4 linked regions of the Sus scrofa genome follow. The protein of the gene in region 1 binds, or shares a complex with, the protein of each later gene. Links are inferred from orthologs where the notes say so. Each region holds a gene or a part of one and is shown in the gene's direction. Other genes may lie near its edges.

Region 1 (3,500 bases):
GGCACTCCTGAGAAGCTGCCAAGAGCCCACACATGGTAAAAGCAGTTTCCTCACCCTAGAGAACAAGTCTTCAGAGAAAGAAGGTCCTCTAACAGTCTAGGTACAGAGGGTCTAGTTCCCTCTGTGCTGTGTTGGTGGCAGCTGTGGAAGAGACAAGGGATGGGGAGAGGAGGAGGAGGACAGGGAGACAGTGACACCAACCCAGGAACAAGTGTTTCTTTTCCAGGCAGACCTGGGCTTGAAGTCCAGGTAGCTGAACCTTGGAGAGGCCCATCTAAATTTTTGACCATATGTTGTCTCCATCACATGAATGACGAGCCATCCCAAGAGAGGCTAGAACTTCCTCATTTGGAGGTCAAGGTGGAGCTGAGAAGTCACCACCAAGAGGTCATGGAGACAGTCCATGCCCAGAGTCTGATCTTAAACCTTCCTTCTCCCTGGGGAGAAAAGGTCTTTTAGTGTTGGAACATCTCGTGAAGTTGTTGAGTATTTAGTGTTGGAACATATCATGGCACTATGAAAAGTTTGCCTGAGAACTTGCTTTGTCAGTGTTCATCATAACCAGCCCCTCTCTTTTCTTTCAGCTTTAATCGCTTGGACTTGCCACCCTATGAATCATTTGAAGAATTGTGGGATAAACTTCAGATGGCCATCGAGAACACTCAAGGTTTTGATGGTGTTGATTAGATTCCAAGTAACAATCTCTGGTGTTTTACTGCCACTTTTTTATAAGCAAAATCTTGACTTAATATTTTGTAGGGAATTACTAACCCTTGGCTGTTGATTTTTCCCAGATATTGGAGAAAATCCTATCAAAACATTAGAAGAAATAGTATGACAACTTTGCCACTATTTCATTCACTTAAATCCTGTGTCGCACTGACCCAGGTGTTTTGTTCTATCGTAAGTTCACACTCTAGGATATAAGTCCTGTGTGCCTGAAATTGTGAGTTTTGTCCTTAACATTTACCTCTTTTACAGATTTGCCAGGCAGTTCTTTCTTAAACTACTGAAATTATAACTGTGAAAATAGTTGTGATAAGTGTCGTGTGTGAAAAGTTTGATGCTTTTTGAGAAGGAAAACCAAAGTTGGGGGAAAAAACATTAATACTGAATATGCTACAGTATATTCAGTGCTGCCTGCAGCTAGTTATTGTTTTGTAGACCTGCCTACTGCACCTTACTGCCCAGATTTTTGAAAAAATCTTGGAAAGTGTGTTACCTATATTTTTAGTCAAATGACTCACTTGCAAAAAGCTGTTTACTTGTTCATTTTAAAAGTATTTGGCTTTTGTTAATATGTGGTTTTACTAAACAAGGTGGTTCATGAGACATGTGAAGCAAACTCGGATTTGCAAAGGGTGAAAGGTATTAATGCCTCCGTCTTGCCTGTATATCTTTCTGGCTCATTGGTAGAGTCATTCACTCTTTCCTGTTTTAGTTTAGTTAAAAAGAATTCCTTCTTCAAACTAAAGCTCAACAAAGCAGTATTCCTAAATATGCCTTGAAGAACTAAGTCAAATGTACAATACTTGCCTTTACTAGTCATTCTTTACACTTGCACAATTATGTAGTAAATATATGTTTACAGGATTTATTATGTTTACAGGCAAGCTAATTTCTGTAGTTGCATTTTTGTATTTTTAGTATTTCACTTTAGTCAAAAAACCAAATAATTTGTTAAAAGTAACCAAAGAATAGTTATAATGCATAATTTGTATTAAATTTGTTACCATATTTCTTATGCTTTTTAAAAATACTGTTTACTATGAAAATGTTTTGCTCTAAATCCAAAATTCTTTAGGCAAAATGCTACAGATAAACTCCTACTTTAGCCAAACTGAAGTACATAAAAATCCTGTGCATTCAGCAAATATTTACTGAATGCCTGCTATATGCCTAGGTCTGTGCTAGGCCCTGGGGTGAGAGTTAGCAGCTTCAAAGATATCTAGCTGAATCTTCACCCTCAAGAAGCTTGGAGATATGCAAAGGAATTTTCAAACAATCAAAAGTCAGGGTGAGCAGGATAAGGCAAAAGGGAAAGTGTTCCATGCACCTGCAAAGATAAAGTGTGCCAAGACTGTATTTATATGTTTTATACCTATATTGGAATGATTATATAGAAAATGCTCTTGCAAAAAGTTAAAGCTATTTCTCAATATGGTATCTTGGTGATTTAGGAATAATTGTAAATATATGTTATGAATCTTCTTAAATACATATATATACATATATGTGTGTGACACACACACACACACATATATACTCAGAGTTGTAAAAAGTGCATCTGGCTATTGGTTCAAGTTTGTTCTAACACAATGAGTACCTTTGAGCACATGTGACAGAAGCAAAACCACTTTCCAAACATGGCATCAGCAGCTCAGCTTAGGGAGAGTAATTCACAGATCAGTGCACCCTGTATCTTATCTTCACCTGTGCTAACCAGCTTTTAGGGGAGACCACCAGATGTAGCCCTAACTTTATCACTTAGTAAATATTTAAACTGAAGCCATGTACTCAACGTCTCTGGGCTCTTGGTTCTTCACCTGTCAAAGGAAAATAATCATGGCTGCTGTCATTGTCATGTAAGATTGTTGTAAACTCCAGAGAGATGCTTTGCAAAGTATCATACAATTGAAAGGTGCTTTGTGCTGACCATCAGATTTTGTCAAATCAGGTGTGAACATGAACTACACTCCCAAAGAAAAGTCTCTTCATTTAAAAATAAAATGACTGCGATCAGGCAAGGAAGTAGGAACATCTGATATTGAATACGTGCAGATATATGTAATCATGTGTTTATCTGTACATGGACCTTACCATACAAATTCATTTTCTCCACATGAGCAAAGTAATACTGATACGGGCCAATGCATTTTGGAATGTTCTTATTATGTAGAACTGAATGTGAAAACTATTTTTGTTAAAACAGGATTTTACCACATGATTGTTTAAGTATCACTTCTGTGAAATATAGCAGAAATCGGAGCTTGAGAAAGTATAAAGCTTGCTTTTCATCTGACTCATTCACTTGGATGATTCTGTGACTCAGATAAAACAGGGTGTTAATGAGACCAGACACTTCCCCCGGTCCCCAGCCCCCAGGCCCCAGCCATGGACCCTCATCCTCTTCATCTCCCAGATACGCACTGATGGTCTGGAAGGAACCTATAATCAAGCAACGCAGCCCCTCATCCCAGACAGCAGAGTATCCCAAATGCATTCTATGGCTGGCAAGTAAATAGGGTCATTCTTGTAAAGCAAGGACATCATATTTGTTTTAGAAATTATAAGCACATAATTTTAGCTTCTATTTTCTCTGTATTCAACCAAATTTTGGCATAAAATTGTATTACAGATGCATTTCATCCTAACTTAAATGGGTATGTTTTCATGTTTTATTTATAATGCTGAAATTATCCCAGATAAGTATCGTTAAACAATTTGTTTTGATTATAAGACACTTGACATTGTTTTTAAAAAATCTTCTCATATGGGAA
Region 2 (3,940 bases), on another chromosome or scaffold:
CGCCAAAGGTGGGACAAGGCAGAGCTATAAAAAGTGCCCTAAAGGGTTCGAGCAGAATCCTCCCTCCGCACTCACCAGCGACTCGGCCTCCCGCAAGTTACTTAACCTCTGAGGGATTCATTCCCCAGTCCCTACAGTGGGTGTCTCCTAGGGCCAGTGTGGGGCCTAATTAAGAGGACTGAGGAACGTGTGGCACCAAACACATGCTCAAGAAAGCTCAGCTATTACTGCGTCTAGAACATCAAAACCCAGAGGAAGGCGTAATTATTGTTATTACCCTATTTGTATTCGCATTTTGACTCAGCAGAGACAGTCATCGTTATAGCAATGCCAATGGCTCCCATGAATTCCGGGGTTCCTTCTGGCCAGTCGCTGTAGGTTGCGAGGAACACCTCCTTTAACCCCAGGACTTCATCACCGAGGCGGGCTTAGGAGCCCATTTCGAAGATGAGGACTTTGAGGCCCGATGGCCCCGAGACCAGTCCTGAGGCCTCCCCCCTCCACCGCCCGATACTGACACGCTGATGGGAGTCGAGGCTCCAGCCCCTGCTGGCGGCGACTGGACTCTCCAGCCCAGGTAACCGTTGCCCGGGGGCCGCAGCAACTCTGTCTGGTCCTCCCGCTGCGCCCGCGAGGGAGGATTTGGGCCGCACAGTTCATACTTGAGTTTCAAAGAACCGGCTTCCAAATTGCCTTCCAGGCTGGGTCCGATGCGTCCTGCCCGGGTGCCCGAGCCCGGGTGGTCGGGGCCCCGCGCCCCCCGCGCGCCGCCCTGCGCCCAGGCCTCAGCTCCGCCCGCGCTGGCAGCCCCGAGCGGTCCGGGCTGCGGTGGCGGTGGCGGCGGCGGCGGCGGCGGTGGCGGGAGGAGGAGCAGGAAAAGCCACCGGGGGAGGAGGCGGAGGCGGAGGCGGAGGCGGAGGCGGCGGCGGCGGCGGGCGGGGCCGGGCGGATTTAAAGCCCATCGAGGGGGTGGGGAGGCCGGGAGGAGGCAGGAAAGGACGCGAGCGGCGCGCTGCGGCGGGCTGGGCGCTCGGAGGCCGCGGAGACCCGCGCGGAGCCCAAAGTTTGCGCGCAGCCCCCGGGCGGCGGCGCGCGGGAGCCGGGACCGCCCTGCGCGCCGCCCTCGCCCCGCGGGACCCGCGCCGCCCCGGCCGCGCCGAGGGTGGCGGGCGGCCAGGCGGAGGCGGCCGGGAGCGGCGCCGCGGCAGGTACGGAGTTGGTCGCGAGCGCGGCGCCAAGTTACTTTGTGGCCGGCGGGCGGGCGGCGGTCCCGGCGTCATTGTCTGCGCGCTGGCCGCCCGGGCCGAGGACGCCGGGCGCCGCGGGGGCGCGGCGGGCGGAAGGGCGTCGCCTCGGGTCGGGGGCTGCGGCGCGCAAGGGCGGGGACCCGGCGCGGCGCGGCGCGATCGCGACCCCGGGCAGCGGGGGAGCCCGGGCGGCGCCTGCGGGACCATCCCGCCCGACGCCGGCGGCTCGCGGGCCGGGCCGGGGCTGGGACAGGGGCTGCCCCGCCGGCCGTCAGGCCAAGGCCGCGCTCCCGGGCCGCCCGGGGGGTGGGCGCCCTTGCAGCCCCCGTGCGCCCGCGCCGGGCCACTGGGGCCCGGACACCCCCGAGGCGGAGCGCGGCCGGGCCTCGGGATCTCTCCCTTGGGTTCCGCTGGTGTCCCCGTTACCCGCCGCCGCCGCCGGGGCCCAGCCCCAAGTGGAGGGCTCGCGGATTAGCCGCCTGCCCGCCGGGGAAATGTGATAAGAGCTGAACAGAAGGAAATTTCTGATGCAACTCTCCGCCTCTGCCGATCGCCTCTCCAACGCCTGCCTGGCGACAGCCCAGGAGCATGTGCGTTATGGAAATGAGGGTAGTCTCCACTTTTTATTGTGTTCGTCTTTTTTGGGGATTGGAAGAAATGCCAACTTTGTGTCGTTTGCTTTGAAGAAACGGTGGGTCAAGTAGGAGAGCCACAGGTGACTTCGCCGGGGCCTGGATCTTTCTGACGCGTTGGAGAGCAGGCTTTCTTGCAGACACTGTACCCAGCTTCATGCAGGAGATGCGAAGAAAAAGCCCAAACAACTAGTGCTTGTGAGTAAACACGCGTGATTGCACAACTTTCTCTTTGTTGCTGTTGACGAGGCCCCGCGAGGAGCACTTTGTTTCTGAAAAAGCTGATTCCGCCGTTTGGAGCCCCCGAGTTTCAGAAATGGTGCTTTCTTGAACGTTTCGCTCAGTTTTACTAAGAACACATGTCAGCCCAGCAGCACGCTTTGACTGCGGTTTACAGCACTAAGCTGGCCATTTTTCCGCGAGCCGACCTAGACTTTCCCTCCTTCTTTCCAGGAGGAAAATTAGGTAGAATCTAGGTTTCTGCAGCAAAAGCAGTTCTGACTGATGGCAATGGAGGTGTCCTTTAGGGTAGTATTTTATTAGGGAAAAGCCCGGAAAGCAAAGTGTTTCCAGGCGTGATTCTAGGTGAGTGGGTTTTTCTGTTCAAAATCAGAACTGAAGGATGACTGCGCCTAATATTCGAGTTTTCCTGGGAACCCTTGAGAGAAGACGGCCACCGCAGGGAGGGAATTTGAGGGCACAGGGAGTTACGCACCCAGCAAGCTGCGGTGTAACTCGGAAGTGTAGCTACGGATACTTCTGTAGCATTTCCCACTTTGAGAGGCATGTTCAAAGCCTAACTGCTTTTGATCCCTTACAGCCCCCGTTCCCCACTTTACAGGTCTGGACACCAAGGCTCAGGAGGTTCCTTGGCATGCCCAGAGTCACGTGGCCAGCAAATGGCAGAGCCCAAGCTTTCGGGTTTTGTAGGTTTTTGGTTTTTTTTCAGTCCTGTGTGGTTCATGCTCTGTACAAGTACATCGGCCTCTAAAAGAGAAATGGCCTCGCAGCTTCCCCTCCAGTCACCCACCCGGGGAACCAGGAGGTCCTGTTACCATTCCCACGGCCCCCACCTGCCAGGTTTCTGCCTGCCACCAGGCTGTTATCAGTGTTTTCTTTTGTCCACTCACTTTTTGTCCTTACATACACACTGATGTGAGAGGAAACTCATGTAGTCATGAGTCTGATACGGTAGTTTTGCTTATGTAATTACAACTGTGTTTTAATAAAAAGTAGGCGTTCCCGTTGTGGCTCAGCAGGTTAAGAACCTGACATAGTGTCCGTGAGGAGGCGGGTTCGATCCCTGGCCTCGCTCGCTCAGTGGGTTAAGGATTCAGTGTTGCTGCAGGCTGCGGCCTAAGTCAGAGAGGCGGCTTGGATCCAGTGTGGCTGTGGTGTAGGCCGGCACCTGCAGCTCTGATTCGACCTCTGGCCTGGGAACTTCCCTGTGCTGCAGGGGCGGTCCTAAAAAGAAAAATTAAAATAAAATAAATTCAAATAAAAGCTGCATCCCCCTCAAGTCATCTGTCCATACTGCCCTTGGTCTGCACTGCCTGAGGCAGTGCTGGACTGGGCAGAATGCCTTTCATTGTGCACCGGGAGCCCGGTGCTGGGCAGGTGCATGCCAGCTGCTTGTCCAGGGTGGGAACCCGGGGTAGCCTGGCCCAGTTACAGTGAACATCTCTGTGGACGTTGAGGAGCAAATGAAGACCCTAAAAGTTGGTCCAGAACTTTGGATTTGGGTGATGTGGCTGCTCTGAGCCTTCACATCGTCTAGAAACCGAAGTCGTGCGTAAAGTCACTGTGCCTTCGCCTTCATCTCAGAGCTTTGGAAAATCCAGGGTGGGGAGTTCCCTTCATGGCTCAGTAGAGAAGAATCTGCCTAGCATCCATGAAGACGCAGGCTCGATCCCTGGCCTTGCTCTACTTGGGTTAGGGATCCGGCGTTGCTGTGAGCTGTGTAGGTGGCTCAGACCTGCTGGTAGCTGTGGCTGTGATGTAGGCCAGCCGCTACAGTTCTGATGCGACCCCTAGCCTGGGAACCTCCATAGGCCGTGGGTG
Region 3 (4,044 bases), on another chromosome or scaffold:
TTTCTTCCTATATTTCTCTTCTATAAGCAATTTTGTTGAATGCAAAAAATCTATATAGGTTTATGCTGTTATGCCTTGAATCCCAGTGATTTTTATGAAAGCATTGTTATTTGCTATCAAAACGTTCACAATAAAGAGACAAATGTATCTGTCCTTAAGATAGATGTATTATGAGAATTACTGGGTTGAACAGTCCAAGGCTGAAAGTTAAAATTAAAACTTTACAGAATTAAGCCCTATTTATATAACAAATTCTCTCTTAAAGAACCATCTTCTGCGCCTCACTAACTTCTAACAAAAATTTTTCAATCCTGTTGTAAACATTACGTCAGCTAAAACGCAGTGATGCAGCCTTTTATAAGGTAGTACTTTTTAGGCCGAACTCTATTCTTAATCCTTTGGACACAGGAGTTGTAATCATGTCATACCCTGCAAATCTAGCTGTAGGTGGTATCTCAAAAAAGGACTTTTTTCTTTCTTCGAGGAAGTGGTCAAACCTTTTTTCCCCTGATGTCATCATGCAAACAACCTGGTTGCTTTTCATTGCTATCGAATTAAGAGAAGAGAAAGCAAAACATACTGAGTACATTTTTTTGCTTCTCTTCCTTGCTCCGTGTAGTATTCTCTTTTAGTCTGGATTTGGCCTCCACAGAGCTCATTTCTTCACTGCCTACAAAGCACTGGTTTAAATAAACAAACAAACAGTGCAGGCCAAGAATGCTCTTGTCCGTGAATATCATTGCTTCTCTAGTTTTTATTACATTTTCTTTTGAAATTCATTAGATTATGCTCAGCAGCCCTTGCCCAACCGGTTTCTTCCCTTCCCCCATCTCTCTACACACATCACTTTTGCTTCCTTCCCTCCGGGGAATGGGCAAACCCCTACAGCGCCGGTAACGCACTCTCCCGGCTTGGTCACTCATCAGTTTGTCTTTACTTGGCTTTGCAAACAGTTCCCCACCCAACCTTGTCCCCCAGTGCCCCCTCGGCCATTATCTTTCTGCCGGAGTATGCTCGATAAGGGACTCCAGATAGCACGTCGAGGGTTTACGGTAGCCTGCCTACCAATAGGAACCCACAATGAAGAGAAGTCAGGTTCGGCCTCCCGGCAGCCCCACTGCCGTCTTCCTTGGTTGTACACCTACTGTACCCGCGAGCGAGCGAGCCAGGGAGCGAGCCCGGCGCGGGAGGGGGCGCGCAGGGAGGGCGACAGCAGCCGCGGCGTGCGCATGCGCCCTGGGGTTGTTTTTCACAAAGCTGCTCTTAAAGTGAGCTGGCAGGTTCCAGCCGCCCGTCTTTGTAAGGAGACCACTGAGACTAGCAGGAGCGAGGAGCAGCAGCCTCTCTGCTGCCTTGACTTTTTAAGAAATCTCAATGAACTGTTTGTAAAGAATCACTGATCCTGCCTGTAAGCTTTTTGCACGGCAAAGACATCGATCAGTGTTAAGTGAAGATCACATTTTATATGTGTTCTTGACTTTTTTTTGTCTTACATTATATTTTTTATAGATTTTGTTACAAACATGGTGCTGGGAAAGGTAAAGAGTTTGACAATAAGCTTTGACTGTCTTAATGACAGCAATGTCCCTGTGTATTCCAGTGGGGATACAGTCTCAGGAAGGGTGAATTTAGAAGTTACTGGGGAAATCAGAGTAAAATCTCTTAAAATTCATGCAAGAGGACATGCGAAAGTACGCTGGACCGAATCGAGAAACGCCGGCTCCAATACTGCCTACACACAGAATTACACTGAAGAAGTAGAATATTTCAATCATAAAGACATCTTAATTGGACACGAAAGAGGTAAGTTTTTACATTATTCAGAAATTATTACACCTATTTTCTTTGGGAAAGTATCTGTTCAATTTCTCTGAATTAATGTAATGTTACTCCTAGCATAAAATATAGCAGTTTGATAAATGTTAGCAAAGTTAGCCAAGATTTGAATTCTCCTTGACTTTCATCGTGTGTTAAGCCATAATGCATGCAGGCATCTGCAAAGTGACTGCAAACTGCACTTATTCAACTACCTCTATACCCGGCTTGATCTGTGCCATACGCGCTTGCAGTCTATTTCCACCTTATAAATTCTGCTTAAATCCGAGGCAGTAATTTTACTGATACGTTTTCAAATGAATTGCTAAAAGCTGCAGTCCAATATTAGATTTTTTCCTTGTTCTGTGGAACCTTAGATCTTAAAAATTAAGCCTCAATGAAGAAATGAAATAACATTTTTAAGTGGGTTAATGGGTGTACTTCATTTTTAATATTGACACTCAAAGACTTTAGAGAATTGATTGTTGTTCTTTGATAAAGGGTTTCTGTGGCTTATTTTGACATATGGTATGAACACCCCACGTGTTTTTTCCCTATTCTTTCCAGTTCCTTTAGAAATTTACATCAAGCCTTCTCTATTTTAAAGGACAATACCAATCATTATGATATGTTTCAAATCGGTTTTAGAAGCCATTTAAAGTCAATTTTTTTTTTTCTGAGCATCATGCCTAACTTTGGAACTGCATTCAATGAAACCTAAGCCAGTCAAAAGGAATTGAAAAGTATTCGGCTCATTTGGATTTGATTTTTGGTTATAAAAGGGAGATAAAGGGTTGTCAAAGGGAGAAGGGGTCCTGAGATTTCCAATCTATTGTTTAAATGGTCACATTGTGGAAATATAGGAGACTCTAAGCTTGTTTTTCTAAGTTTCCACCCTTTGTTAGAAGCGGTTCAATCCTGTTTCGGACCAGTTCTAGGGGGTGGTGAGGAGGGGCGCTTGTTCTGCTCTCAGCAGATTGGTTACACGCGTCAGGTGGTGGGGATGACTTAATTCCTAGCCCAAGAAGAATATAATGTTAAAACTGGTTATGTAATTTTGTGCTTCTCCTTTTTAATGCAGTATTTAGTTCTAATGTTGGCCATTTCTCGAAGAGTAGAGCACATTTTTACCTCTTTTTTTATACTAAAAAATACCCATCCATGAGGAAGTGCTAATTGAACTAAGGCAAGTGCAGAAATGTAGGGGTGCTTTGAGTTACAGCATCTTAATGCATTATTTTAACAAATTTTAAGATGAAATCTGTTTTGTTGGGTTTTAACTTGCACATAGGTCATTTGCATCCTGAAATAATTTCTAGTTAATATCTCCAACCATTGACACCGCTTAGAAATGCAGCTGCTTAATGACAGTCCTGGTGTTTGTTGAACAGCACACACACGAGTTTGTATTTGAACCTTCCTGGACTGGCAGCTTTTTATAATACATGGGTGAGAAAAAAACAAAGGTTTTTAAGGAGTTGAGGTTTGCGGTGAGGCAAAAGTAGAATAACGATTTATGGGGACAAACACAATTTCATTAGTTGCGCTATGATTTCATAGTAAAGAAAAACTGTGTGTCCTGAACTCCACGGAGATGCCTCTCAACCCTTGCAAAGCATGGACGAGCCTTTAGCCTGGAATAGTTTCAATGACTTAAAACTGGGACCTCTCAAACTAGCCTGGAAATTGAGACCCCGCCCCGGGCGGCCAGCGATAGGCGGAGCCGGGTTTGTTAGCCTGTTGCTAAGGCGATGCCAGGCTCTGATTGGATTGGGTGCAGGCGGGTGGGGAGAGTAGGCTCGCCGGCTGGGGCGAGGCTTGGAACCGGCGTGCGCCGGTAAAGGTCCCTCCTGAGCAGCCACCCCCGCCCGTTCTCGCGTCTGCGTTGCGGGCTCCTGGAAGCAACCGTAGTTCCTGTCACATATTGTTCTGTTTGCCTCTCACTTGAGCCTGTGCAGCCCCCTCCCCCATGGAATAGCTTAAGGTTTTGAAGAGTAGAGGAGAGATGCTTTTGCTGGCCTGATAGTTGCCCAAGGGTCCTGGGTGCAACTTTTTAGCTCAAGATCTATATACAGGGAAGTTGGGCCAGCATGGTCAACAGGATCTTGTTTTCCAGTTTTTCGGGTGGAAGTTGTCAGGCGGCTTCCGTGAAGGCTTGCCTTCCTCCTAGCTGAAACAAAGCGACTTTCCCTATCTAGGCACTCATCAGACTGGCTACCTTGATTTGAC
Region 4 (4,146 bases), about 75 Mb from region 1:
AGCCAGCAAATGAAAGAGCAAAATTGTGTATTAAAACTACAACCTTTCAAAAAGTGCCTTATTAGTCATTTCAATGAAATGAAATTTAGGCAAAGGTATCTATCAGAAAATACTTCCTATCCTACTTGTTTTTTTTTTTTCCTCCTAGTATTTGTATTAGTAAGGAGTATCCCCGCTGGATGAGTTTGCTTTATTTCCAGAGAATAATGCCCAAGAGAGTTCCCTGCCCAACCCCAGGAGCATCACTGAAGCCAGTTTATGAGGAACTCTCCTACCACAGCCCTCTAGTGTAGCCTCTGAACAGACCTCAAAGGACCCGGCCACTCTGAGACTGAGGACACATGACTCAGGCTGTTATAAACCCTAGTGCAGACTGTTGAAGAGGGAGGGCCCTGGAAGTGGTGGAAAAGCACATAAAAACTATACCCAGATCTCTGTGGTCAGCAGCAGAAAACTCTCCAGTGGGTTTTAAGGAGAGAGATGGTCTCAAGGAAAGCTGAGAGTTTCGGGCCTTAACATTTGAATTTTCCATAAAAAATATCCTGACATTTCACTACAAAAGAGAGTTCATTTTTGGCATGAATGGGGCTAGGATATTATAAATTTTCAGTTCCCCAGAGATTTGGTAGAGGTCAGATAGGAAGATTTAACAGTCAAAAAGTATTATAATACAGTTATGAATATAAATATATATATTTTTTGCAAAACTGTGGGAAAGAATGAAATTTAAAGCAGTCAAGGAGTTGAGAGGTGGATTTGGGATGGGCATACCATCCTAAAATGTTCGTTTTTCAAATTTCTCAATCCCATCTCCATTTCCTTTGTTAATTGTCCCTTTAAACTAAGAGGGGAGGAATTAGCTCATCAAATAACTCACTCACACCCACCTTTACACACACCTTGGCCAATAGGAAGTTTGCCCTGGCTGTACACTTTTCCACCACTTTAATTTAGTGTAATATATACATATATTACAGGAAATAAAATCTTAGAAAAGGTAGTAATAATATAAAATACATTACTTTTTATTATCCCTGGACTTTGGGTGAAAAAAGCACTAACTAAAACCCGTAATTGTTACTGTAAGAAGTAACTACAAGTAATGGCATTCAGGTCTCTAATGCCATTTCATGTCTCTCGTCAGCAGTTTTAAAGTTGGACTTCATCTGGACCTAGCTACTCCTCTGCCTCTTCGCCCGCCCCACCCCTCTCGGCTGCCGGCCTCCTCGCCACTCTCCCGCCCGCCTTTCCTCTTCCCCACCCCTTTCTCCTAGCCCCTCCTCCTTGTTGAGTCAGTGGCTTGAAACTTTTAAAAGCTCAGTGCTCCAAGTAAGAAAAAAGCTTTTACGAGGTATCAGCACTTTTCTTTCATTAGGGGGAAGGAGTGAGGAAAGTACCAAACAGCAGCAGACTTTTAAACTTTAAATAGACAGGTCTGAGTGCCTGAACTTGCTTTTTCATTTTACTTCATCCTCTGAGGCGTGCCTACTTCACTTCTTTTAAGGGAAAGAGTAAGTTTTCAAAAAGGACTTTACCTATTTCTTTCTTTTTCTACAATTAAAACTTTGCTAAAGTTTTTTAAAGTGTTAAATGTAGCTTTGATATGATATAAAGGGAATGATGAACTTGAAATGTCTAGTTTTAAAGTTAAAATGGAACTTACGGTATTTATTTTTTGACTGTTAAAAAGTTATCTTTTAATAATGCAACAGGTAGATAAGATTCATACCTTTCTGGATATTTGGTTGGTTCCTCATTTTAGAGTAGAATTTCACTTTTTTTGGTAATTAGTAATAGTCTAGACGCTTTGTAACTTTTGGGGTGGGGTGTGGTTTGGGGGGCCTAGGTTGGGGGTTTGACTGGCTACAACGAAAAAAATCAAAGTGCAAAGATGCCTAGAGTGCTTGCTATAGAATTCTACGCTTTGTGCTTTTTCATATGGAAATCTTGATTGATGTTCTCTAGCCTTGAAAAGCAGACTTCTTAACAAAGTGCTTTGTTAAGACCTTGCGGTTACTTGACTTCCACGTGGTCTCTTCGTAGAATTTCCCCCGGTAAACAAAAAGGTGTAAAAATACGGGTTGTAATGCTGAGGTTCTTAAAGCAACAGTAAAGAGTTAACTTTGTGTTAGCCGCCACTAGGGAAAAATCTTGAGACCCTCAGGGAAGCCACCTTTGACTCGACCACGTTGGCAATTCAGGAGGTGAAATCTCTTGAATGCCTGCCTGCTCGTTACTTACAAAGCGTTAAGTTAGGGCGAGAACAGAAGTTTAGAAAAGAGTGCATGTCAGGGTGCATTTTCAAAACGGTCTCCTAAGACAGGGGCTCCTAGAGAGAATATGAAACGAAATTTCTTAAGACAGCGCCTTAGAGGGAGCTACCGCCCCCCCCCCAACCCCGACACACACACACGCGCGCGAGCGCGCACACACACACACACACAAACACACTGCCACCACCTTCTGCTTGTCCGAACCTGCCACACACTAAAGAGCTCTGGGGCAACTTTTTTGAGTTTGAGCCGCCAGGGTGCTGCCAGGAGGCAAAGATAAAGACGATTTGTCATTTTTAAAGGTTCAATTTCTTACATGCTCTTGTGAGTAACCCACATTCTTTTAGCCTGAAATGCAGCCATGCATTTTCGTGCCCGGTAAGGATTTTGTCTGTTCTAATTCCAGGGACTGAAGTAATTAGTTTAAATTCTTGCTGTGACCCTACAGTTTGAAGTATTTGCACCAGAGAGTGCTCAAAAGCACATAAAAATGAAAGCTTTGGGGAAGGAGGACGGGGGCCTGGGGCCGGGCGGGCGCGGGGTGCCTCCTGCCATTTTAGCATCCGCCTGGCTCGCCCCGGCTCCTGGGCTGCCCCGGCCTCCAGGTTTTGGAAAGGTTTGCGGATATTTCCCTCAAATGCTTAAAAGTTAAACCCAGTGCAGGTCTGAGTTCCGCCACTGGAAGGGAAGGGGTGGGAGCGGTGGAGGTGGGTTTGAAGGAGATGGACATCATGCCGAATGGTAAAAGAATAGCAAATGATTAATTGAATTAAATGTGTCAATCTAATTTCCCTTTTCTCTCACCGCCATCCGCAGTGCCCTTTTTTTCTTTTTCTTTTTTTCCAAACCTGTTGAATCCTAGTGTGTAAGCCATGACGAGGAAACCTGAGTACCTTGGAAATTAATGTGTCTAAATGACACTTGTAACTCTTCAGTAAGTTCTCGAAATTTCCTAAGAATCCGGGGGTGGGGAGCGGGTAGGGGAGCGCAGAGGAAGCCACGTAATGAAATGAGTAAAGACCTAATGACATGTCCAGGAGTAAATCAGTACAGAATTTGGAAATTCAACTTTTGAGTTCCTAGCAGCGGATCGACCACAGTATCCTACTGATTAGCCCTCCAGATGTTTACAGAGCATCTCCCATAAAGTTTATCAAAAGCCCTCCTTGAGCAACCTCATCCTTATCCTAAGGTTGCCTGTACTCCCAGAGTACAAAGAGGAGCACTATAAACTTGGAAAAATAGACATTGTTGCATTTGGAGGTGGGTTTAATTTCTTCTGCCTTCCAAACCAAGTTAGTAATAAGAAGATGCTTAATCTCACCCTCTGAAAATTAGGCACATTTGAATTTAGTCTAAAATGAAGAGGCAATTTGAAGAGTAGATTATGAAAATTTTTCCTAAAGCCTAACTTTTGAACAAGGATTCTTGAAAATAAAATCCTGTAGTAATAGAGATTTAATTAAATTAGCCCTGTCCCTAAAATAGAAATAAGCCACTTAGGTAGAAAATACTTCAGGGAAAGAGTAATTCTTCTAGGTAGGCCGAGTTGCCAGAACGATGGCAATGGTAGAAAAACATTTTGTCGTGGCAAGATGTTTGTGTTGTGCTTAGTAGTTCTCCAAGTCAGGGTGTGGTTGTCACCCGTCCTTTGCTTGGAAAATGCTTTGATAATGCTTTAATTCTACTCTCTTCACTGTTTAAACATGTTCCCATTTTTCTACTACCTTTTATAGTTGATCACCACAGCTGCCCCAAACACTCAATTCCTCACCCTTTACAGTACAATTCCTACATTGCTGGCCCTTCCCAGGAAACAAAGTTCCAAGCAAGCATCCGAAAGGGTGTGTTTTCAGATACTGAGAGTTGTTTT

The links. The genes of interacting proteins can lie anywhere in the genome.
Region 2: the proteins of NEDD4 (region 1) and GRB10 are in contact, whole or in part, in a crystal structure (PDB 3M7F), measured with the Mus musculus proteins. The link is inferred for Sus scrofa from reciprocal best matches to the Homo sapiens genes NEDD4 and GRB10. Residues at the interface, in NP_035020.2 of Mus musculus: Glu71, Leu72, Val79, Arg104, Ser112, Ile114, Leu115, Thr116, Ser117, Val118, Gln119, Glu134, Ile135, Leu136, Phe137, Arg138, Leu242, Pro243, His244, Pro245, Pro246; in NP_001357532.1 of Mus musculus: Ile514, Arg516, Gln518, His519, Phe521, His522, Gly523, Arg524, Asp548, Gln579, Phe581, Gly587, Asn588, Thr589, Lys590, Phe591, Ser592, Ile595, Gln596, Asp599, Phe600, Leu603, Asn604, Ile617, Arg618, Val619, Ala620.
Region 3: the proteins of NEDD4 (region 1) and ARRDC3 are in contact, whole or in part, in a crystal structure (PDB 4N7H), measured with the Homo sapiens proteins. The link is inferred for Sus scrofa from reciprocal best matches to the Homo sapiens genes NEDD4 and ARRDC3. Residues at the interface, in NP_001271267.1 of Homo sapiens: Glu847, Arg849, Ala851, Pro852, Phe857, Ile859, Asp860, His861, Lys864, Thr865, Thr866, Thr867, Trp868; in NP_065852.1 of Homo sapiens: Glu344, Ala345, Pro346, Pro347, Ser348, Tyr349, Val352.
Region 4: the proteins of NEDD4 (region 1) and GJA1 are in contact, whole or in part, in an NMR structure (PDB 2N8T), measured with the Rattus norvegicus proteins. The link is inferred for Sus scrofa from reciprocal best matches to the Homo sapiens genes NEDD4 and GJA1. Residues at the interface, in NP_037118.1 of Rattus norvegicus: Asp416, Asp417, Tyr422, Val424, Asp425, His426, Ser428, Lys429, Thr430, Thr431, Thr432, Trp433; in NP_036699.1 of Rattus norvegicus: Pro277, Leu278, Ser279, Pro280, Met281, Ser282, Pro283, Pro284, Gly285, Tyr286.

Annotation. Positions count from the first base shown.
Region 1 is NC_010443.5:116,066,707-116,070,206, forward strand, and holds the end of NEDD4 (E3 ubiquitin-protein ligase NEDD4), read left to right. Parts: coding exon 1-35; intron 36-584; coding exon 585-687; 3' UTR 688-3,178; downstream 3,179-3,500. UniProt on the Homo sapiens protein: E3 ubiquitin-protein ligase which accepts ubiquitin from an E2 ubiquitin-conjugating enzyme in the form of a thioester and then directly transfers the ubiquitin to targeted substrates. Specifically ubiquitinates 'Lys-63' in target proteins.
Region 2 is NC_010451.4:136,739,746-136,743,685, reverse strand, and holds the start of GRB10 (growth factor receptor-bound protein 10), read left to right. Parts: upstream 1-1,140; 5' UTR 1,141-1,208; intron 1,209-1,933; 5' UTR 1,934-2,077; intron 2,078-3,940.
Region 3 is NC_010444.4:98,441,911-98,445,954, reverse strand, and holds the start of ARRDC3 (arrestin domain-containing protein 3), read left to right. Parts: upstream 1-1,244; 5' UTR 1,245-1,523; coding exon 1,524-1,803; intron 1,804-4,044. UniProt on the Homo sapiens protein: Adapter protein that plays a role in regulating cell-surface expression of adrenergic receptors and probably also other G protein-coupled receptors.
Region 4 is NC_010443.5:40,999,330-41,003,475, reverse strand, and holds the start of GJA1 (gap junction alpha-1 protein), read left to right. Parts: upstream 1-1,346; 5' UTR 1,347-1,511; intron 1,512-4,146. UniProt on the Homo sapiens protein: Gap junction protein that acts as a regulator of bladder capacity. A gap junction consists of a cluster of closely packed pairs of transmembrane channels, the connexons, through which materials of low MW diffuse from one cell to a neighboring cell.